Arabidopsis thaliana: one gene and its partners. The protein of the gene in region 3 purifies or fractionates together with the protein of the main gene of each other region. This does not show direct contact. Each region holds a gene or a part of one and is shown on either strand. Other genes may lie near its edges. The genes, in order: EMB2770, AT5G22320 and AT1G71350.

Region 1 (9,045 bases), on a different chromosome or scaffold from region 3:
GAAAATTATAATTTTTTATAAGATTTTTGTATATTTGAATATCGATTTAAAATTTAGAAAATTAGAATTAAATAGATTAACAAAATTGAAAAGACTTGTTATAAAATGGAAAAGAAAAGTGGGACCTCTGAAGACAAAAATGTCAAACATGTGACGGAGAAAAATCAAAGAACGTGGACCTTAGATTAGATTTGTAAATTGACTTGATGGAGTGTTCAGTGTTTGGTCCCTCCACCGATTTTTCTAGACACCTTCTAACTCTTTTTTGTTTACTTAAATGGAATGAATCATTTCCTAACAAATTATTTAAGTGGTCGGCACATTTCATTTTCGCGTAATAAATAGTGTACATTAATTTCAGACCAAAAATATATTACTATTATCATTACTTGCAAACAGAAACAATCTAAGAAAGTGATGTTTTTGGGTTTCTTCTCGACCTGAATTCACGTTGTCGATGTGCTGAGGACTGGATTTTCCGTTGTTTATTTGACGTCGACCAGTTTTTTTGCTTTATTTTTACACTTCATATTAGGGGGCGGGCATTCGGGTAAAGCGGGTCGGGTTCGGGTAAAATCCGATCGGGTATGCGTCTTTCAAGTAGAGAAGTTTAGGAGTTAATAGGGTAAATCTAAAATATCGGTTCGGTTTCGGTTCGGATCCAATCGGGTTCGCATGGGTTCATGTATAGATTTTTGGAGCCTCTTTTGGAACCTATACCCGAATTTTCGGGTAAATAGCCAGATTTTTTGGTAAAATTTTGGGTATCGAATAAAATTCAGATTTTCGATTAAAATATTCGGATATTTTCGGGTTCGGATTCGGTTTTTCGGGTAAAAAAATATAGGATTCAATAGAATAATTCTTCGGGTTTGGGTTCGAATCAGATCAAATTTTTCAGATCGATTTTGGTTCGGTTCATCGGTTCCGGTTTTTTTGCCCGCCCTTACTTCATATCTAATTAATTTTATATACAATGTAATTAATCTGTTAGCAGTAAAGAGTAAGTACTGACTTAGAGGAAATGATCACATGTGCATTTTGCACAGATTCCGTAACAAAACTTACCTATATTTTACGACTCAAGAACATTAAACAGAACCAAAACAACATCTTATATTAAAAAAAAAAAACGTTAAACCAACTACACTTGAATTTCTTTTTATTCTTCATCATAAATGAATTGGATTGTTGGGCCAATTAAATACATTATCGTGTTCGGCTACCGATCACAGTTTTATGTAACACTCACGAGGAGATATGATTTGTTTAAGAAGATGGTTTAGATGATGTCTTATCTAATTAACATCAACTATAAACCTCTAACCATACCACAGAAATAACAAGAGCACAAAAGTCTAACATATAAGATATTTTGATAAAGTAATTAAAATGTTCAACAACCAACTAGGCACGGACATTTGATGGTACCAAAGTCAAATATGCGGTTCGTATATATCCACTTACTTTATATTTTGCTATTTAGCTCCACATTCGCATTATACATTTAACCAACGATAACGTTATCTATTTGTGTTAATCTTTTGGAAAAAATGTTAACGAACATGTTCTTGTCCCCATCATCATATGATGATGATTGCAAACCTAATATTGCATTTTTATTTTATTTTGCCTTTTGTTATGTTTTTTGGTAGCACTTTTGGGTCCATATTTTGGACACGTTGTCGCCATGTGTTCTCCAAAAGAACAATACATAATAAATTTGGATAATGGTATAACTAGTCTTTAGAAACTAGATATAGATGAGGTGATTAGTTGTGATATGCTAATTGCTAAATACAGCCTATTGTGGTCCGCTTTTGGTAAACCAAACAGATTGTCTTTGATTTGGTCCTCTTTTTTTTTTTTTTTAGTGCGGTCTGTTCTGATCGGAGTTGATCCTGATTATGGCAGTCACAATGTTCTGAGGGAACTTCCTCAACGCCAATTATTATACACTTGAAAGCTGACCAAATACTGGAAATGCAGGAGTTTCACAGACGGCCATCACGAGGAAACTGGTCTCACTTTCAGTTCTCTCTTATCTTCGGTTGAATCGAAACTAATGGACTGTCCACACAATATATCCTGTTGTTTCTCATGCCTCACCAGAGGTACTCGGCAAAAGACTAGAACAAATCAACCTTTGTACTTGCAAACTAGTTTTACCCAACAATAAAACAAATTGCAGTGTTACCACAGGATGAGAGCGACCAAAAGGTTCTCAAAGTCAAGGGTCTACTGAAGATAGGAAAACAAGTCGCCTTTGTTTGAGAATCAGCTCTCCAAAAGAAGGCAAATAAACTAGTTGGTTGATTTTAACAGGCAAGAGGTTTATTAGTATTAAGGCTAAAAAGGTTACCAATATCTTCTTCTAAGAATTACTATCACAGCTAGTGTTAATGGACAAAGAACTCTAAAAACTGTGTCAGGGGTTAGTTTTCTTACACTGTCTAAAGAAGCGTTGGGAGTGTGGGTTTCATGACTTGCCCACGCACCAATCTTAGTCACCAGGCAGACAAAAGCTCCCTAAGGATGAAGGCTAAGGCATGAAACGAACAACAAATGATCAGTTATACAAATAACAAAAGAAGTTTAATAGCTGAACACTGCAGCACACAGAGACTCACAAAGAAAACTGAAGCATTTAGTAAACTGAGAATTCTACATGTATCTGGTGAAACACTCCTGTAAATCAATATCAGGTCTCGCTACTGAAGAAAAACATGAATGGTTAAAAGTTGAGCCTGCAAAGAGAAAACAAGAACTAAGGTGTAATGTGCTATGAGCAGAGCTTGATCATGAAAAACATAAGAAAATTGATACTCTCAAGCAGAATTCTCTTCCTTGCTCAACGCATTCACAACTCTCTTCAAGATAACTTCAATAGGCTGGTGAGCATTTTCAACCGCTTTGGAGATGGCTTGCCATTTCTCGCCATGCTTCGGCTCACAAGCTACACACTTCGCCACAACTTCCTTCCTGTCCTCATCAGAGCCATGTTGAAGTTCAAATTTGTAGAACAACGCCCAGAAATCGCCAATATCTGGGCCAACGGTAACAGCACGTTCAAACCATGCTCTGGCTTTCTCCACCTTCTTGTCTTGCCAAAAGAGCTTGGCAACAGCTATGGTGACATGAGGGTCGCGATCACACTTCTTCATAGCATCAATACTCTTTGTTTTCCGTCGAGGACGTGGCGCCATCTCAATGTCCGCAGCCCAGAGGATACCACTCTTGGGACAGTCTTGCAGAGCCTTTGACATCAAGTGCTCTGCTTCTCTCTTGTTGTCATGCCTCAGTTCAGCGCGAATAGCAGCTAACCATAGCTCAGCCCCCCCAGGATTCTTCTTCCTGGCCGTGGTGAGAATAGCCCGAGCTTTGTTTAGCCCATTCACTTTCTCTTCAAGATCAGCGAGTGAGAGCCACAGTGGTATGCAGTGGGGACAGTGCTTCAAACCAGTGTCATAAGCTTTCCTGGCCTGTTCTAGATGCTTGAACCGTTCCTCGAGCTGCCCAAGCATTAACCAAAGCTTGAAGAATGTTGGGAATTGCTTCAAACCTTCATTAAGCAATCTCCTCTCCTCCTCTACGTTGCCAAGTTCTCTCTCAACAATGGCTGATTTCATCCAGACCCTTTCAGTCCCTCCTCTTTCCCTTGCTTTTGCAAGCAGCATTCTTGCCCTCTCCGGCTCCTTGTTCTCAAACTCAAGCTTGAAAGCAGCAAGCCAGATTTCCTCAGAGTTGGGAATTGCAGCATAAGCCTCTTGTAGAATAGCACGGGCTGCTGGAACATCTCCAGCGAGCCACTTCTCTTTGGCACCCATGAGCCAGAGAACCTCAGCTTGCGGGACATATGTTACAGCCTTACGCAACAAGGCATCAAGGGACTCCCGACTCCCATGGCTCTTCTCAAGCTGCGCCGCTTTAAGCCAGATACTTTTCTTGGTCAAGAATACACTAAGAGCATGGGCGTATATTGCTCTTGCGGTCTCAATGGAACCCCTCTTCTTGCACTCATCTGCATCAGCAACCCAAGTTCTCTTTCTATCCTCTTCTTCCACTCCAATACCTATTGTGTTCTTAATAATGGCCTGGCATGTAGCGACAGATCCAACTCTCTCACATGCCTCAGCCTCACTCATCCAATTTTCTCGGTCAATAACAACCCCTTCTCTCTGGAGAGTCTTTATACCCCTATCAATAATCTTTCCCACCATAGCCGTGTTATCATTAGCTTCATCTAGCTTCCCATTAGCTTCTTCTAACTTAGCAGCGGTGATCCAAATTGCAGGCTCCTTTGGGAGCTTCTCTCTCGCTTTGTTCAACACCTTCTTTGATTCAGCATATGTTTCGAGCCTCGCAAGTGCCACCCATAGCTCCAGATGCAAAGGGCAGCACTCCACAGCCCTGTGAAGCAAAATCCTTGCATCCTCCTCATTAGCCAACTCAACAACAGCCTTCCATAGTCTTACAGAGTCTGGAATATGTTCCAGTCCCTTTCTCAACACCCTACTCTTGTTCTCCACATCATGCTCCAGCTTTGCAGCCTCCAACCATAGCTTCACTGAATTGGGTATCAGCTTAACTCCCTTCGCAATAACCCCCTTGGCATCTTCTGGATTAGCTAACCTACAAGCTTCAAGCCAAACATCCTCATTTTTCGGGCACTCTTCGCAGCCCCTCTGAATCTGAAACCTAGCTGCTTTAATCTTCCCATCCACCTCCTCCACTCTAGCAGCAGCAATCCAGCCATTTGGATTCTTTGGATTCGACTGGGTCAGACTCTTGTATAACAATCTAGCTCTATTGCGATCGTATATCTCTTCATCAGTGGTTCTTTTCATACTCTTCAGGTCAGTTAAGTAGCCTTTAGGATCCACTACAGTTTGCCCCGAAACTGAATCTGATAGGTTATCAAGCTTCAGAGACAACACCGTACCTCTTCCCTCACCGACAGCAGTCAAGTCTGTCACCGGCGTCTGCCCCCATGGTGTCTCCGACCCACCAGCGGCTCTGCTCTTTGGGTCTAAGGCCATGACAAGCTCCTTTTCTTTCTTCGCCTTCTCCAAAAGCGTATCAGGAATAGGCACAAAGCTCTCAAACTTCTTCTTCTTGTTCCTCAGCGAGTAATCCCCAATCTCAGGAATACTATCCCACTCATCCGCAGACAAAGTGTGTAATTTCCTCTTCAAATCCGCAAACTGCTCAGTAATCTTAGGGTTCGAGGCTCGGTATTTCTCGATTTCTTCCTTCAGCTTCGCTTCTCTCCGATCTTTCCTCCTCGAATCCATCCTCTGATCAATAGACTCCCAGATGGCATCAGCCTCTTTATCATCCTCATCGTACTCAGCATTAGCGAACAAACCAACATCATTCCCTTCAAACTCATCAAACGTCTGATTCTCATCGTACCTTTTCTCCTCAGCTTCTTCATCGTCCTCCGCTTCCGCTTCACTTGGCTTCCCTGCTCCACGACCTACTCCTGGAGCAGCCGCTGTAGCCAAAGCAGACCGATCAGGAAGATCCGGAGCAGCACGAGCAGGACCAATATCAGATCGAGTAGTAAACCCAGTAGCACCACGACCCAAACCCGCTACATAATTTGACGGAGGCTTAGAATTGAGGAAATCAAGACGAGGCTTCGGCGGAGCCGCTTGCATACCACCCAAAAGCAGGACATGGATAATCACAGTAGAGAAACGAGAAACACCGAGATCGGACAATAAGATCGAATCGGAATCCTTTGAATCTACAAACACGCGGCTAGGGTTTCGCATACGGAGAGAGTAACGAAGGAAAGATTGTGGAACATCACTACGTTGGTGGGCCAATTGTTCGAAGGCGGAGATGGTGGTTGAATTAGGGTTCACGTCGATCGATAAAGTCTTCCCGTTTGGAATCGAGAGAAACACCATCGTAACCTAATCGAGATTCTCCGGTCAAAGAAACCAAACTATAAAAATCTCTGCTGTTACAACGAATATAAAGGGTGGAAAAAAAATAGTCGGTTCAGAGGTAAAGGCGGTGGGATATGTAGTGGGCTTTTTAATGGGCTTTTTGAACTTCATATTGTAAAACCACCGTTAGTATAATTCGAGCTTTTCATAAAGCGACACCGTATATGACTATCTCTGTGTGTTTTGGTTTTAAACGACGTCGTTTGCATGGCTTTGGGAAAAAAATTAAATGACTAAATATTGCGGTGAGCGTGGATCGAACACGCGACCTTCAGATCTTCAGTCTGACGCTCTCCCAACTGAGCTATCCCCGCTTCATGTAACACAATCAATGAGTAAAAGATATATAGAAAGAAAATAAAAACGAAAAGACAACGTAATGCGGTGAGCGTGGATCGAGATCTTCAGTCTGACGCTCTCCCAACTGAGCTATCCCCGCTTACTGACTCTTTCCAAACCAACGTAATAAATTACTAGTTATGAAAACAACAACTGAATCAAATAGATAAGAAGACATCCTTTCGTCTTTTTTGTTTCAATCACACGGACCAGAGCCAGAGGTGTGATATGTTTCAGCATCTTCTTCATCAACAAACCATAATAGCATTCGGAGAGGATATCCGTTGCCCAGTGACAACGACCAAAGCCAGGAATATATGGGACAGTGTAATAGGCAAGAAGAAAATAGAGCACAAAATAAAATACGCGCTGAATATCTATATATACATTTTTGCAGCAATTTTGTGAAATAAATCTTATAGTTGGGACTTATTTACAATAGCTGCCACTGGATTTTAATGTTTGTTTTTGATAATTAGAAAAAAAATCTTCAAATTAAATATTTGACATTTAACAATCTTCCCTAAATCTCTCCACATTAACTACACGATTAGTTACTAAAATAAAACTTTCAAAATATTTAATATCATTTATTTACTACAAAATTATCATTTTTGATATTGTTTTTCTCCATGACTATAACAATTTAATTATAATCGTCAAATCGCAGAGATATTTGATAGCATTTAATTATTACAAAATTACAAAATATTTAGACAATAATTCATAAACATATCATAAATAAGATTAACATTAATAAAATAAATGTTTTTTTTATGGGACGGGTTGGCGGGACGGGTTTGGCAGGACGTTACTTAATAACAATTGTAAACTATAAAATAAAAATATTTATAGATAGATACAATTTGCAAACTTTTATGTATACTAACTTTAAAAAATAAATTGTTTCCGCGGTGTACCGCGGGTTAAAATCTAGTATTTAGTGAAGAACGAAAAAAAATAACTAGTATATCACTTGTTGTAGCGAGCACGCCAAAATAGAATGCGACCTACATGGAGTTTAGAGCCAAAGACAGAAATGGAAAGGCAAACTGAAAGGCTTTGTGGCCGAGTTCTGGATCACCCAGCAAAGCCCAAATAAGAACAAGTATTGCTACAATAAGTTAACCAACAACCAAGTCCTGAACTGCTTAGCCGCCTCTAAGAACATAGCTCAAGATTAAAAAGAAATGGCAAGCCAAGAACATAGACTACCTCAAAACCAGGTATGAGCTGGAAACAAACCAAAAGTCTGACAATTTACATGGCACGAGATTTTCCTTAATAAAACAAGAAGCTGGAAATTGACTTAGTGCAGATTCTTTTAGTCATTGTTGCTGTTGTGAGTTGTGACCAGCGGCCGAAAGCGAAAGGAAATGGTGGCAGCAAAAGATGTGTTGAAGTGAGGGTTGGGTAAAAAAAACTTAGGTACTGAAATAATGATCACCAGCAAAACAACAAGAGGTCATTTTGACTATCTGTCAACTACAATCACAGTGATCAAACTGGACCTAGCTAATTATGATACAATCTGTATGTGTCTCTTGGGAATCAAACCTCAGTTTGATCGACAAAGCATCAAAATGAAGCACTTTTTTCTTTAAATAGAGAAACAGGACAATTCAACCCAAAGTGCGGAAATAAAATGAAACAGAATTGCATATATAACAACAACGGAATCAAACACTTACATTTCCCACTATTTGTTGCAATGCAAAGAACGTTCTAACCAAGCTTGTTAAGCAGGTGTTTTGAATCTGGACAATGTTTTAGAGTCTCTTTGACAATTCTGATATGGCCATTCGTTGCTGCCAAATGAGTGGAAAGGGTCCATCATTGTTTCACACGTAAACACTCTTCGTTAATCGTACTAACAGGTTACATACTCCTTTATAAAACCCTATGGATGCTCCAATTGAAAGAGAATTTATCCCTTCTTCACATCACTCATCCCCAAGACTTGGATCTGTATAAATTAGCCCACATGCAAATATTTAGTCTTCTGTCCCAAACTAGTCAAACAAACTAAACAGAGCTACTAATTGGTAAGAAGCAAAACAAACTTCTACTCTTGGCCTTCAAAGCCACGTGTACAAAATCAAAGTTCGTCTTTCTTCCTTCATTGCTTGTAGTTCTCAACTTTGATACCACGAGTGGGACATTGCCAGCTTCCACTGCCAAATACAAGGGAGATATTCCAACTTTACTCGCAAGAAATGAAGCACATTGGTTCACATTTACCAGACATGCAGCTATCTCCACATGGCGACCTGTCAAGGCCAAATGCATAGCAGTATCTCCGTCCTTCAGATCATATAGATTCAGTCTCAACCTCTCTAAAACAGAATAGCTGAAGATATGATATTGATGTTGCAACAAACGCTTCGATAATAGCTAAGTGGCCAGCAACATGGTTTGGAGAGCCATTCTTGATATATAATACTACAATTTCTTCCACAAACCCCCTTCTTATATCGAGTCAACAAAAGATGTCGTCCCCAAATACCGTATCAGAATACAAAAATACCAAGCTCGAAGACAATATTAGCGGACACATGCTTTGTTTACTCGACATTGTAAGGGGCTTAATGCATGAAAAAGAAGTATTGTATATTAAGAATGTGTTGATAAAATGACGAAGCTGATACCAAGTAGCTGTTCATACAGATAACAGATCTCTAGCCACTCCGAAAACCTTCTAAAGCATCTGAAATTGAACAAGAAGTATCTGTACAAACAGAAACGA
Region 2 (6,840 bases), on a different chromosome or scaffold from region 3:
TCTCAAGCATCTGTGTGATCTCGTTCTATAACCAGTACATCATTTCTGTTGCTAATGTTGCGTCTCTTTTTCTAGCCAACTGGTATCCCTATAAAATTGGCAGCTGGATTTGTTGGTCAACTTGAGGCTAGAGAGGCAGCTGGTCTTGTAGTTGACATGATTAAGCAGAAGAAAATGGCGGGCAAGGCTCTTTTGCTTGCTGGACCTCCTGGAACTGGGAAAACAGCTTTGGCTCTTGGAATCTCTCAAGAGCTGGGAAGCAAGGTAATTTTGGATGTCTCATTTTGTATCTTCTTTGTTACATTGTTTCCACATGGCTTCATTGTATGAAGCTTTTTTCTTTTACTTTTAGCTTATTTTATCTGGATTGTTTCTTTCTTGCAGGTTCCATTCTGTCCAATGGTTGGATCTGAGGTTTACTCATCAGAGGTTAAGAAAACAGAGGTTCTCATGGAGAATTTTAGACGTGCCATTGGTCTACGTATCAAGGAAACCAAAGAAGTCTATGAAGGGGAGGTGTGTTGCTATTTGCGGTTTCTTTTGCTGTGTTCTTATGCAATAGCATGTCTCGCTAATTGGTTTTTGACATGTTGTCCTTGTGTTCTAGGTCACCGAGCTGTCACCAGAAGAAACTGAAAGCCTCACTGGAGGTTATGGTAAAAGCATCAGCCATGTTGTAATTACACTCAAGACAGTCAAAGGAACCAAACATCTGAAATTGGATCCCACTATCTATGATGCCTTGATTAAGGAAAAGGTCAGTTCTTGGCATGCGATGCTATGCTTTGGATGTGGTATTTTCCCCTAAGTTTTTGCTTTTCAGTTTGTTCCAAAACCTGCTTTTCTTTTCACCTTTTTGGTTTTCTAACGATGTCATTCTGTGGGGACAATTGTGTATGAATTTGCTGATTACTTTGTCATTCTGATTGGTTTCTTTTTATATTTTTGCTGTTTGCCTCTCAGGTAGCTGTAGGAGATGTAATCTATATCGAAGCAAACAGTGGAGCTGTCAAACGGGTAGGTAGAAGTGATGCTTTTGCCACTGAATTTGATCTGGAAGCAGAAGAATATGTTCCACTTCCCAAAGGAGAGGTCCACAAAAAGAAAGAGATAGTGCAGGTTTACCTTCTTTGACCTCTCCCTTCTGTGTAGAGTAATTATTTTCTTTGTTGATTTATTATCTGTTATGTATTAGTTTGTATGTGTATTAACCTTAGTTCCTAAGTTTATTAAGACTACTTGTTACTCAACTAGACCATATACTTTTGACTGATAGGATGTCACACTCCAAGATCTGGATGCAGCAAATGCTCGACCTCAAGGTGGCCAGGATATACTTTCTTTGATGGGCCAAATGATGAAACCGCGGAAGACTGAGATCACTGATAAGCTTCGGCAAGAAATTAACAAGGTGATTTTCGCTAGTACATGGGTGATTTTTTTAAGCATCTTACTTTCTCTTTTGCAAGGTCTAATATTTTTATATGCCATTGTAGGTTGTGAACCGATATATAGATGAAGGTGTGGCAGAGCTTGTTCCAGGAGTTCTATTTATTGATGAGGTATTTTCCCAAATAAAGTTTTTTTTCATTCCACTATTGATCTTGCTCAGGACTCAGGAGCAGTAAGAATACCTTTGTTTAATTATAAAACCTCAGGTTCATATGCTTGATATGGAGTGCTTCTCATACTTGAACCGTGCTCTTGAGAGCTCATTATCTCCGATAGTGATATTTGCAACAAATAGAGGTGTTTGCAACGTAAGGTGAGAAGAGCGCTAGACCTTGATAGACATTTTCCTTTGGAAATCTTGTGAGTTTTTGTTAACTTGGTACTGTGATTTACTTTATTTGCAGAGGGACTGATATGCCCAGCCCCCATGGAGTCCCTATTGATCTATTAGATCGATTGGTTATCATCCGGACTCAAATCTATGATCCCTCTGAAATGATCCAGGTTACTCAATTGTCATTTAGCTTTTGGATTTCAATTACTACGAACAACATTCTAATAGATTTATCATTTTGTTCACAGATTATAGCCATTCGTGCGCAAGTTGAAGAATTAACCGTGGATGAAGAATGCTTGGTTCTACTTGGGGAGATTGGGCAAAGAACTTCACTAAGGTACTGTCATCATTGCTTTTCTAAGCAAAATTTCTGTTCGTGAATCTAAATACTAAAACCTTTTTTGTGCTTTCACTCTCAGGCACGCTGTGCAGCTTCTGTCTCCTGCCAGCATTGTAGCGAAAATGAATGGCCGTGACAATATTTGCAAGGTAGATTTACTTGTGAAATCTTAGAACAATAAAACAAATGTAAAATATGTGGATGTTATGTTATTAATCCTTCATCTTAAATTTTGACAGGCTGATATAGAGGAAGTAACATCACTCTACTTGGATGCTAAATCTTCAGCAAAGCTTTTGCATGAGCAACAAGAAAAATACATCTCATGAGAAGAACACTAATCGCACATTTTGTTGAAACATCTCATAATTTTTCTGTCGTTTTATTTTGTAATGTCGGAATATGGAGAATGTCTAATGGGATTACAATTTGGTTTCTCTGAATTCATTTATTTATGTGCTATTTTTTTGTTTGTGGTGCTAACTAATGAAAACTGAAATATGGTTTCACGTGTATACACATACATGGTCGTGAGATTCAAACTTTTGGTTTCATATTGAGTTCCCTTGTTACATTACAATACACTTATTCAAGATCAAACTGTTTGTGGAACATAACATTGTGTAATTGTCTATTTGGTTACTGTTAAAAGTTGATGTTGCGCCAAAAAGAAAGAAAAAAAACTCTATTATCAGAACAGAGTCAGCAGAGTCGGAGATTATAAAACTTGAGGATCAAAGTGGGAGGAGTACCATAAGAGGGTGTCCCTGATCCGTACAATAATAACAAGGTCAAATGTATAAACAATAGAAAACTGTGGGGTTTTTGGGTAAAGACTTATCACGGTTGGGAACAGAGACAATCTTTTGAATAAGGTGAAACCAAAAGACTAGGGTTTTGTGTGACAAGGAAGAAGACGAAGACGGCGATGAATTCGTTAACCGTTGAACAAGTATTGAAAGAGAAGAAGACCAATGACCCAGATTCCGTCAAGGAACTTAATCTCGGCCATAAAGCTCTCACCGACGTGAGTATTGTTTCTGTTCTGAAACTCTGTTCCCAAGTAGAAATTGATACGAAACCCTAATTGTTTAATTGTATATTTAGGTGTCTTGTTTGAGCAAGTTCAAAAACTTGGAAAAGCTTGATCTTCGTTTCAACAATCTAACAGATCTTCAGGTTGATTGATACATAAATCTCATTTTATAAGCATAAATAGCATCCAAAGTTTTGATTTTTAAGTTGCTAGAGCTTATTATATGTTGATGTGTTAATTGGTTTTTAGGGACTCAAGTCTTGTGTGAACTTGAAATGGCTTTCAGTTGTGGAAAACAAATTGCAAAGCTTAAATGGAATTGAAGCACTCACTAAGCTTACGGTTAGTTCCACTGATATCACTGAGCTTGTTTCTTTGAGATTTGTATCACTTACCAATAGTGAGGTTCTCCAGGATTAAGCTTTGTTTTGACAGAAAACGAGTTAATATGTGTGCTTTATTTGACTGTGTGATGTTGTTTTCTATCAGGTGCTTAATGCTGGAAAGAATAAGCTCAAATCCATGAATGAGATCTCTTCTCTTGTCAATTTACGGGCCTTGATCTTGAATGGTAAGTTGTCAACGGTTTTATGTCTTTGCATCCACAAGCTACTGTTTGATTACTTACTCGTTATTGTTTCACTTGTTGTAGACAATGAAATCTCCTCCATTTGCAAGCTTGATTTACTCAAAGACTTGAACAGTCTCGGTATGTTCTTTTACATCAAAATCAACATGTTACTGTTTAGATGTTACACCTAATTTCATTCTACTTAAATGTGTATGGATTCATTCATGCAGTTCTTTCTAGGAACCCAATCAGTGAAATAGGTGACTCACTTTCAAAGTTGAAAAACCTCTCCAAAGTAAGCTCTTGTTTTCCTCCCGTTTCGGAATCACAACTAAACTGATCCTTGTCTAATCCCATCTCGGTTTCAGATTTCTTTGTCTGACTGCAGAATAAAAGCTATTGGCTCTTCTCTCAAGTCATGCTCTGATTTGAAAGAGCTGCGGCTCGCGAACAATGAAATCAAGGTGATCTTTCTTACATTTATGCAATCTACAGAACAAACCTGCCTCTTCTCACAATCTTTTGTTTATATTGCTAATCGTTATTTCATTTACGCTTAACTGTTCAGGCTCTCCCAGCAGAACTAGCAGTCAACAAAAGACTACTCAATTTGGATGTGGGAAACAATGTGATTACGCAACTCTCTGGTTTAGAGGTATAGTCTAATTCATATAGGTGAAAGCAAATTTGTTAGCCTTCCCTAGCTTGTGGCAAGTTTTTGTGGTGATCGTGTAATAAACCATCAAATTTGTGTGCTCCCAAATGATAGGTTTTGGGTACACTATCTTGCTTGCGAAATCTGAATATTCGAGGAAACCCGATTTCTGATAACGATAAGTCAGCTAAGAAGGTAAAACAACTTTTTCTACTTCTTTTTTCCATTGTGATTAGTGTAACTGCGTGAAGAAATCGTATAAGAATGAGGAAAATTGTTTTGATGTCGCAGGTGAGAACGTTGCTTCTCCCTTCAGTGAATGTATTCAACGCTCAACCCTTAGAAAAAAGCTCAAGGAATGCAAAGCATATTCGGCTTGATACCGATGATGAAACCTTTGATGCCTATCACAATAAATCAGCAGAAGAGGAACAATCTAAAGAAGATCGAAAACGCAAGAAGAGCTCTAAGAGAAATAAGTCAGAAGAAGAAGAAGTCAACAATGAGGATCACAAAAGCAAGAAGAAGAAGTCTAAGAGCAACACAAATGTAGATCAAGTTGAAACAAAAAAGAAAGAAGAACATAAAGAGAAGACAATCCCAAGTAACAATGATGATGATGATGATGCTGAGAAGAAACAGAAAAGGGCTACTCCAAAGGAGGAACTCGATGCTATAGATGATGCTGAAACCTCTTTCGCAGAAATCTTTTCCCGGGAAAATGTGCCAAAGGGTTCTGAAGACGGTATTGAGAAGAAGAAGAAAAGCAGCGTCCAAGAGACAGGTTTAGTAAAAGTGATAGATACTAAAGCTAACAAGAAGAAGAAGAAGAGTGAAAAGAAGCAAAGCAAGAGTGTAGTGATTGATCTTCCCATGGAGGTTGAGATCGGGTTAGGAGGAGAGTCTAAGTGGGAGTAAACTGCAACAGAGGGAGTGTTTTACTCTTTAAAAGAAGGGACAGTTATGTCTGTAACATCCAACGGCTAGGGAGTATTTTGATATGGTTAAAGAACATAGGAGAGGAAGAAAGTGGTTTCGATCTTCTTTATAAATTGTTTTCTGCACTGTTGAGAAGCTATATCTAATTTTATAAAATGTTTGTGTCATTGAAACCAAAACAAAAAAAGGAGAATAGGTCCCACCGAGACTTGAACTCGGGTTACTGGATTCAGAGTCCAATGTCCTGACCACTAGACCATGGGACCATTCTATTCACGCTTTAATATTTGTTATTTTTATTGTGTTAGTTTCTAGTGTGTAATAAAAAAGAGAAATAAAATGATACAAGCTAAATGCTAGGAAAAATGTGGAAACACTAGTTTGGACAATGAGAAGTTTGAATTTTGATTTCAGAAAAGAAAACTAAATTAATTTTAGTGCAGACTATTCCGATTAGGTGTAAATGTGGTCTACATTTGTGATATATTATGAAGACGTAGAGAAGAGTTAGAAATTTTTGTCATCTTCTTTTGTTTCCTATGTTTGTTTTGTAATGCTAATGTTAAAACCGATTTGCTAGTTCAAAATGTCCGTATCTACCCGTATTGAATGTATGTAATTACCCATAGTATGTATTGTATATTGTAAACGATATTTTTTTAGTTTAGCTTATTTGACAAAAAAGAACGTCGTTTTTAAAGTAGAGTTTAGATTGCTGCTGCAAGAGTAGTTAGTATATTGAATAAAAGTATAGTGATATGACATTTTTGTCAAATTCTCCATGTGATATGTGAGTAGTAGTCAAAGACTCAAAGGAATAAAAGAGAAACAGACTAGAACTCTTTTTAATCTGAACCGTTCATCTATGTTGTATTTTTCTTCTATCATCGTGGCACTTCTCTAGTCTTCACACATTTTAAAATTCTTTTTTACTCGTATTAATTTATTTTTAAATTAGTAATATGTTAAATTATTTGTAATGGAGTTAAAAGAATCTGGAGGATGGATTTGATTTGACTGGCAGAGAAGGCATCTATCTCTTTGGGATGTTCCATAAGTATTTACTATTATTTGTACTCAGCATGTGCCTGTCTTTCATAATTCATATGCCAATCACAAAACTTGTGTTCAAATTAGTATAGAGACAATCATTGGTTTTGAGTTGTGAATTATGATTGGATAGTAGTAATCGTTAAGGCATCTAGGAAATTTTATGTCTGATTTACATTCAAAAAATCCTATATGTTTTAGAGCAGCAATATTTTTTTTTATGAATCCAAAAATCTAAAACCATGTATTCATTGTGTAACTATGATTGTTTAATGAGAGATTTTTAGCAATGATTGAACATCTACTATATATATTAGTGTCAAAATTGTCAAAGTTTCGATGTGCGACAATTCCAATAACTTATAACAACTGTCTGTAAAATTTTAGTGTATTGATCTTAATACCTACCTCTCTAGACAAAAGCCATAAGTTTATAAACACAATCCTAAAACATAAAATG
Region 3 (7,164 bases):
CAACTTGAACAGAAGAGTTACGAGCAATACGCTGCAGATCCCTGACTGTGCGTGTGATCAGAAGATGAATAAGAAGAACACCGATGAGAATCCAAACACAGAAACATTAGAAGAAGATGATACAACAAGGATCAGAGTCTGTAACCTGTTGTGAAGAGCGAATAAAACACCATCGGAGGAACGAGAAACATCGACTTCAATGCAATCAACTCGAGAACGTATAGCGAAACTGTAAGCGTCCATCTACGATTGAGAAGAGTCCAAGAGATTAAGGTTTAAAAAGGTTAGTAGCAAGAGTGTGAAGAAGAAGAGATCGAGAGTGTACGTACAGTGTTTGGGAAAGCGAGGGTGGAATCGCCGCCGTGAGCACAGACAAGTGGAGGATGGTGAAGCCAATCGCACTTTTGCGCGACAATCTGACGAATTCGTCGGAGCTTGAAATGGAAGTAGAGAGGAGGGAAGATAGCTAAGAAAATCACAGCGAAGAGAATCGTTCTCTTGAAATTTCTCGAATACAATGGGCTGAAGAAACGACGGCGACGAGTTCCTCCGCCGTCGAATGGCCGTCTTCTGTGCCGCCATTCAAAAATCGCCATTAGCTGAACAAGACAAAGGTTGTTTTTGGAGCTAAAGACGACGTTTACTGCAATCTTGGAAAAAAAAGAAGTTCACCAATCACCATCAAACTATATATTTTTTTTTTTTTGTCACAACTGTTTTATTATTTATATTACAAAGCCTTTTAACAAGCCATATTTTACAAAGCCATATAACAGGCCATAAACGGACAAAAGCCCAAAGACCACCTTCTGAAGAAGAGAAAGCTAATGTGCTAATAAGTCAAAGCCCACATGGCACTAGAGACACGGTAAAGAGGACACGTGGAAACAGAAAATGATGAGTTGCAGAATGTCGCAGGTGGAGAATCATAACCACAAAAAACTTAAGTTCACCGGAATTGCTGTAAACGCCAAATCGGAAGCAGCTACAAATCCGATGAGACAATTGACAAATCTTCTGTGACAATGACTGTAAAATTTAAAACCTTCAAGAAAGAAATAGCTCACAAACTATCGACTTCGACTTCTGCCATTTAAAGGAAAAACAACATAAACCCAAACGATTCAACAAGCATCGGCAACAAGAAAGACAAACAACAGCTCTAATTTCATCAAAATCAAACAAAAGACACTAAATTAAACTTCAATCCGTAACTAAAAATTTGATCTTTTAAAATGAAAACTCAATAAGCTTGAAGAACAAATTAAGCCCCTTAAAGAAGGGAGGATCGAAAAATTACAAATTTAGATCGAAATGAAGAGAAAGAGAAATCAAAACCAATTAAAACCGAAGCAAAATAGAATCGAACAAGGTTGAAAGGCAAAAACTAAATTTGAAGAACGAAGCCGACCAACGGTGCTAAAGAAACCACCGATGTCGGAGAAAAGCTAGCCGACGTTGCTAAAGGAGCTAACGACGCCAGAAGGAAGCCAACCAACACCACTAAAAAAGCTGGCTATTGTCGGAGCCAAGTTTGAGCATCAGAAACTTCCTCTCTCTAAAAGATCTAGAGAGAGAAGAGAGAGAAAGTCCTTTTATTTTCTCAACTGCACAAAAGAGAGAAAGTCCATCAAACTATAAATTATTTTCTTTAATTTTTTTGTTATATTAAAAAAAAAACTAATAACAAAACAATTTTATTCTCATTTGTTCCACATCTCTAGAGTCACAGAGTGTACGTATCAAATAAAATTAGAAGATTAAAACACACAAAAAAAAAATGAAATAGAAAAAACCATTCACTTTCTAGTCTTATCAAGAACTTCGATGTATCTCTTTGGAACTCCATAGTGTTCCACCATATATCTCGCAAGGTTATCAATCACACCTCCTTGAATCAGAACCTCGTACCCTTTCTTACCTGAAAGCAAACACACAAAACAATCAATCATCTCTCAAATAGTTAATTCACTTACACAGCTGAACAAAACAAAAAGGATAGATTTTAAACGTACCTGGAAGTTCTCCAACTGAAGTACTGCAAGCAAACTTCTTCTGCAGTTCTGATCCAAACGAGTCTGGGTCTATCAAGAACGTCTCCATCCCTGTGACCTTGGTCACTTTTTTGTTACCTTGTCTTCGTTCTGTCATTATCTGAACCGGCTTTACAGCTCCTTTACGAACCACGGGTTCACCGCCTCCTCTCATCACTACGTGATTAGGCTGCATTCTACCTACAAATGTCGACCCAACATCCTTTTTGTGGATCTCTGACGGATATGCCGATCCCTTTTTGATAGCTCCTTTGAACAATGCATCACATAGTATCGGATCCAACACCACCATTGATTTGTTTGTTGGCTTTACTAGATTTTCCTTCTCAATGTATTTGAACACAACGTCAGTGGCTTCAGAAGCTGTGTACAGATTTCCTTTGTCTTCCCCAACTGATGCAAATATTGCACTATTGTGTATGCTTGATTTATAGACCTCTATAATTTCAAGCCCTTTCTCTGACTGAGCTTGCGCCGTGGAGCGCTCTCCAGGAGACTCGGAGACTTCCGCTTTCTTTTTCTCTGGCTTGAAGGATTTGTAATCTGGGTGGCTGCGGTTGACTGAAATCAATACTATCTCCTTCTTATGCTTGTCTTCCTTAACAGATATCTGCGCATATATTTCAAAGATTGTGACAGAGTGCAGTTGCCAGTCAAGACACCAGAGTAAATCTACTAGCAATTATGAGTATATCAGGGTAAATGTATACCAATGTGTTACATACATACTTTTAAGGAGATACAGCTTACAACACTTGATACTAATAGTTTCCTATATTGATAAACCAGTTGGGTTTTGCAGTTAAACATCTACGAACAACATCTACTAAAATATAAAATCAAGCCAAAAAAAGTATCATAAGACAAGGGAAATTCGTATGAAAACTGACCATTCCACCAGACGCTTTAGATTGCAGCCACTTTGACAACTTTTTATGGGAAGACTTCTTAATGTCAAGTGTGAGACCAGAAGGCCTACAAGGTAATACATGATTTGCCCTGCACCACTCACAGAAAAATATATGTCAGTCAAACGTGGAAAGGAGAAAGAAAATGGTTTAAGGTGTCTTGCTTGTTATTGACAAAGTCAAGAGTAACACAGAATAGAGCTTCAGAGCGTAATAAAACAACCTAATCATAGTCAAATACCAGAATATAGGTGGCTTTCAAAGTAAGTCAAGTATCTGAATGCGGTTCTTACCATAGAGTGCTTCCTGGGATGGGAAGGTCTTTCTCCTTTAGTGTTGTATGCAATGCTTGCAAAAGACATTGGTCAAGAAGGGTATCTACCTCCTCAGGGGAGAGAGTAATCTGCTTGTCGGTATTAGTTTCAGTAGCACATACATCATCTACCAAGTATAGCTCATTCATGCTCCCAACGACATGTACTTCAGCATCATTCTTAGCATCCGCAGCCGATGTTGAAGCTGTTTCCAGAGCAGATTCATCTTCTTCATTTCCGGTGCTTGCAGAAGTGTCTAAAATATCTTCACCTGAACCAGGAGCAAGGTACGATGGGTCCTCCATGACCACATCCTCCATAAACCCCGCATTTGGAACATAATGCCCCTCAGCTGATTCCCTAAGAAACACAAATTCAGTATGTAAGAGACAGAGTTCCTCCACAGATGTAAAATATAAAAAAACTTTTGCCAGCATCTCATGTACCATAGGAAGTCACGGTAATAATGAGTTATCCTTAAAGCCTTCCCACGTAAACCTGCTTTACGAGCTTCTTCACTACTCATTGTGGTACACCCAACCTTCATAAACATCATGTAACTCAATACGCAAACTTTACATTCATTAAGAAGATTCATCAGTTAACAAGACATAAAAAGCTTACCGCAATAGGTGCTAGATTTCCAGGAACTTTGACAGCCCATATTTCTCCAGCAGAGAAAGAAGGATAGCCTTGGGGAGGGATCAAAATACCTGGGAACATCAAATCTGCACCGCCTATAATATAACGTGAAACCTCACCTCCTTTCAACATAAAGGAAGGTAACATTTCAGGAGCCTCCCACAGAGCAAAAACTGTGGGGAAAATCTCAGTTCCTCTTCCATCGATATCGAAAAACATGGGACATCCACCTTCAATACTATAAACAATAACTCGATTCTGAAACTTGGAAAGTGTAATCTCGACCTAGACAAAACAATCAATGCCAGAAGTAAGCCAATACTCGATGCAATCTAATCTAGAATCAATCAGATTACACAACAAGAAGAAAGACCTAGTAATCTATGGAGAAAACAACGATGCCAAAAATTGAGGGAAAAGAGAAATCAAACCTTGGGAGGAAGAATTGCGTCGAGGAGTTCATCGGTAAGAAGGGGAAGCCTATTTCGGACGGTGCGACGGAGTTTTTTCCGGTCAGCGCCGGAGAGACGCTGGTGAGACTTAGCCTCCACCGCCTTCTTAAACATTATGTTCGCTTGTAGTCGTCCCTTTACCACTGCGGGACTCGAACCAAAACCAGACTAGTGTCGTCTCTCTCTTAAACCTTTTTGTTTTTGCTTTCGGTTATTTTTCTAAGCCTGCCACGTGTCTCTTGCATTGTAATTTCTAATTTCATCAAACCGGTTCACCAAAACCAGTCTAGAATTGTAAGATGATGAAACCTCCAGGCTTTGGGATGGGCTTAAAAATAAACAAGATATGGCCCATATACTGCTATTAATAACCCATGAATTAATTTGATTGATTGTACTATCCCACATCGGCTCATTTCTTGAGAACAGTGAGTAAACTTTAGTATAAATAAAGATCGAGAGCTTGCCTTCAAGAGTCACGGAGCTGTGCAGTGAAGACAAAGCGAACTGTTCTTTCGCCTTTTACTAAAGAATACCGTGTCTTCTCTGTTCTTAGCGGCATACGCCTATTTTTGGAAAGGTTTATTAACCATTAATAAACCTCCATCAATCTTCAGTTTATAAATGATTATAGCTAACTTTATTTCTCTCTAGTATAAAGCTCAGTTTTATGCTGAAGTTACGTTGACAAATAACCCCACTTTGGATGAACTATGAAGAGTAGGAGATGACATGTGAGAGATTGGTATAAGAGGTTGATTGGATTCGAATTTTAAAACTATCTTTGCTCTGTGGCAATGACGAAGCTAGGGTTAATTATTGAAAGAAAATGTTTATAATTATTTTGGTCATAAGAAAATGTTTTCTGTGAATAATAGTTTTGTTTGTAAATCAACTTTCTGCAATGAAAACTCTTTCTACGTATAAGCTTTGATTTGATAAGAGTTTTTTCCATTGAACCGGACAAAACTCTTGTATTTGAAACCTCATAGGCACATCATAACTTATCTAGGTAACTTCTATAGTTTTATTGGGTATAAAGAAGACTCAGCTAACTCTACAGTAAGAAAAAAACTAGAAAACAAAAAGAAAGACCAAAACTGAGAACTCTTCTCTCATCAAAGTGACAAAATGAACATAACGAATGTGGAGCTTATCAATAACAGAAGCCAAGCCAAGCCACCTTGCTTCTCTGCTCGAACTATCCCCATACCAAAAACCACGGCTACAACTGCTATAGTCCCAAACCCGACACAGATTGTGAACACAACCACACCTTTCTTCTCCATCCACTCCAGTCTTTCCAACACTTGCTCTAACCTCTCCTTCACTTTCTCTTTCTCATTCTCAGCCTTCTCAAGCTCTGTCTCCACTCTCATCCGCCACTTTCTCATCTCCATCGCCTCTTTCTTCGTATTCTCTTCCCTCTCCTTCATTCCTTCTACCTCTAGTCTCATAGTCTCCACCTCCTTCTCTCTCTTGCTCGCCTCCAGGTCCATCTCCTTGAATATCATCCCGTATTTCAAGCTCCGTTCCTCCAAGTAACTCTCAAGAACTGATAAGCTCACGTCCAGCGACCTTATCTTCTGCATCAGTATCTTCAAGACAGTGTCCCCCGGCATTCTGCTTCCTGGTTGATGTTTTATCTCTTCCACCGGATCTGGCAGCTTTCTTTTCTCAAGTGATACTTCATCTTTCACAACCGCATTCTCTGGTGAGGCTTCTTGTTCCTTCTCCTTCTGTTTACTCTTGTCTTCATCGCTTTCGAAGGACTCTTTTGCTTGCATTGTCTTCTTCTCTTTCTGCTCAGTGTCTCCTTCTTGGAGTTTCAATATGTTCTTGTCTTGGATAGATATCAAATCCTCCAGCATTCGCTCCACAGCGTCCACTCCATAGACTTCTAGTAAACTCAAGGTGCAGTAGAATTCTGAACCGTAATGGCTTAGCAAGTTTAGCTTTAGATATCTCACCCATTTGGGATCTGCAAATGTAAAGTTCTGCTCGTGCTTCATGTTTAAAGCCGTGAAATTCCCTAGATGAACCCACGTATCAGTTGGGTAAACCAAGGTCCCCAAAATCTCAAAATCCTTCAGATTGGAAGAGTAATGCTCGAAATTTGCAATCTTGATTGTGTTCACCAACGTTTCTTCTGAAAGTTCTATGACAACGAACTTCCCTTCAGTAGAACACGGGTTTCGGAGATACTTGTCTTTGTCCCGGCATATGATGCTTGAAGCTCCTTTTGCTTCCTTGTTAGAAGATAAGACCTTTGCACCTTTTGAAGCAGCTGCATAATTGTACTCTTTCCCACCAGGCTCCATCCTATGAATAACGCCAGTTACTTGGCCTGACAAAGATTTGTCTCTAGAATTGGACGCTCTGCTCTTGAACTCATCAAGGCCAAGCGGAACAGCACGAGATAGCTGATCAAGCTTTGAACCAGTGGTCTCTGTATCATTCCCTGGAACTGTGTTATTATTTATCTCACTTTGCTTCATAGGCACGTTGTCTTTGCTTTCTGTAACATTTCCTACGATAACGATTGTGTTATCGACTTCTAATTGCTTCAAGATGGTTTCTGAGCCTTTACTTTCTCCGGCTGCAGCTATATCAACATCCGAACTCAATCCAGGATTAGAATGAACAGAGGTAGACTCTAGTGATGTTGCATCAACAGACTCAGCTGTCTCATCTGCCCTTTCATCATCCGGTTCACCTTTTTCAACTGAATCCACTAAAGATCTACCTGCAAATGCCCAAGAGTAAGCCTTAGATACACTTAAGATATGGTCTA

What was found.
Region 1: the proteins of AT1G71350 (region 3) and EMB2770 fractionate together in Arabidopsis thaliana (co-fractionation; one large-scale study listed by BioGRID). This does not show direct contact.
Region 2: the proteins of AT1G71350 (region 3) and AT5G22320 fractionate together in Arabidopsis thaliana (co-fractionation; one large-scale study listed by BioGRID). This does not show direct contact.

Annotation. Positions count from the first base shown.
Region 1 is NC_003075.7:1,514,583-1,523,627, forward strand, and holds EMB2770 (pre-mRNA splicing factor-like protein), read right to left. Parts: upstream 5,982-9,045; 5' UTR 5,919-5,981; coding exon 2,829-5,918; 3' UTR 2,631-2,828; exon of another isoform or gene 2,543-2,630; 3' UTR 1,448-2,542; downstream 1-1,447. UniProt on the Arabidopsis thaliana protein: Pre-mRNA splicing factor required for splicing and for the turnover of unstable transcripts. May be a U5 snRNP-associated protein involved in the formation of U4/U6-U5 tri-snRNP. Involved in responses to abiotic stresses.
Region 2 is NC_003076.8:7,386,644-7,393,483, reverse strand, and holds AT5G22320 (Leucine-rich repeat (LRR) family protein), read left to right. Parts: upstream 1-2,870; 5' UTR 2,871-3,057; coding exon 3,058-3,156; intron 3,157-3,236; coding exon 3,237-3,308; intron 3,309-3,414; coding exon 3,415-3,507; intron 3,508-3,654; coding exon 3,655-3,736; intron 3,737-3,817; coding exon 3,818-3,874; intron 3,875-3,966; coding exon 3,967-4,031; intron 4,032-4,104; coding exon 4,105-4,200; intron 4,201-4,304; coding exon 4,305-4,391; intron 4,392-4,505; coding exon 4,506-4,586; intron 4,587-4,682; coding exon 4,683-5,309; 3' UTR 5,310-5,480; downstream 5,481-6,840. Other genes in the region: RIN1 (P-loop containing nucleoside triphosphate hydrolases superfamily protein), read left to right, coding at 76-264, 385-516, 608-757, 964-1,119, 1,277-1,411, 1,497-1,562, 1,659-1,765, 1,857-1,956 and 3 more.
Region 3 is NC_003070.9:26,886,726-26,893,889, forward strand, and holds AT1G71350 (eukaryotic translation initiation factor SUI1 family protein), read right to left. Parts: upstream 4,560-7,164; 5' UTR 4,485-4,559; coding exon 4,350-4,484; intron 4,204-4,349; coding exon 3,901-4,203; intron 3,818-3,900; coding exon 3,723-3,817; intron 3,637-3,722; coding exon 3,256-3,636; intron 3,054-3,255; coding exon 2,945-3,053; intron 2,665-2,944; coding exon 2,016-2,664; intron 1,922-2,015; coding exon 1,800-1,921; 3' UTR 1,643-1,799; downstream 1-1,642. Other genes in the region: GDPD4 (PLC-like phosphodiesterases superfamily protein), read right to left, coding at 1-41, 146-243, 330-596; AT1G71360 (Galactose-binding protein), read right to left, coding at 5,489-7,116.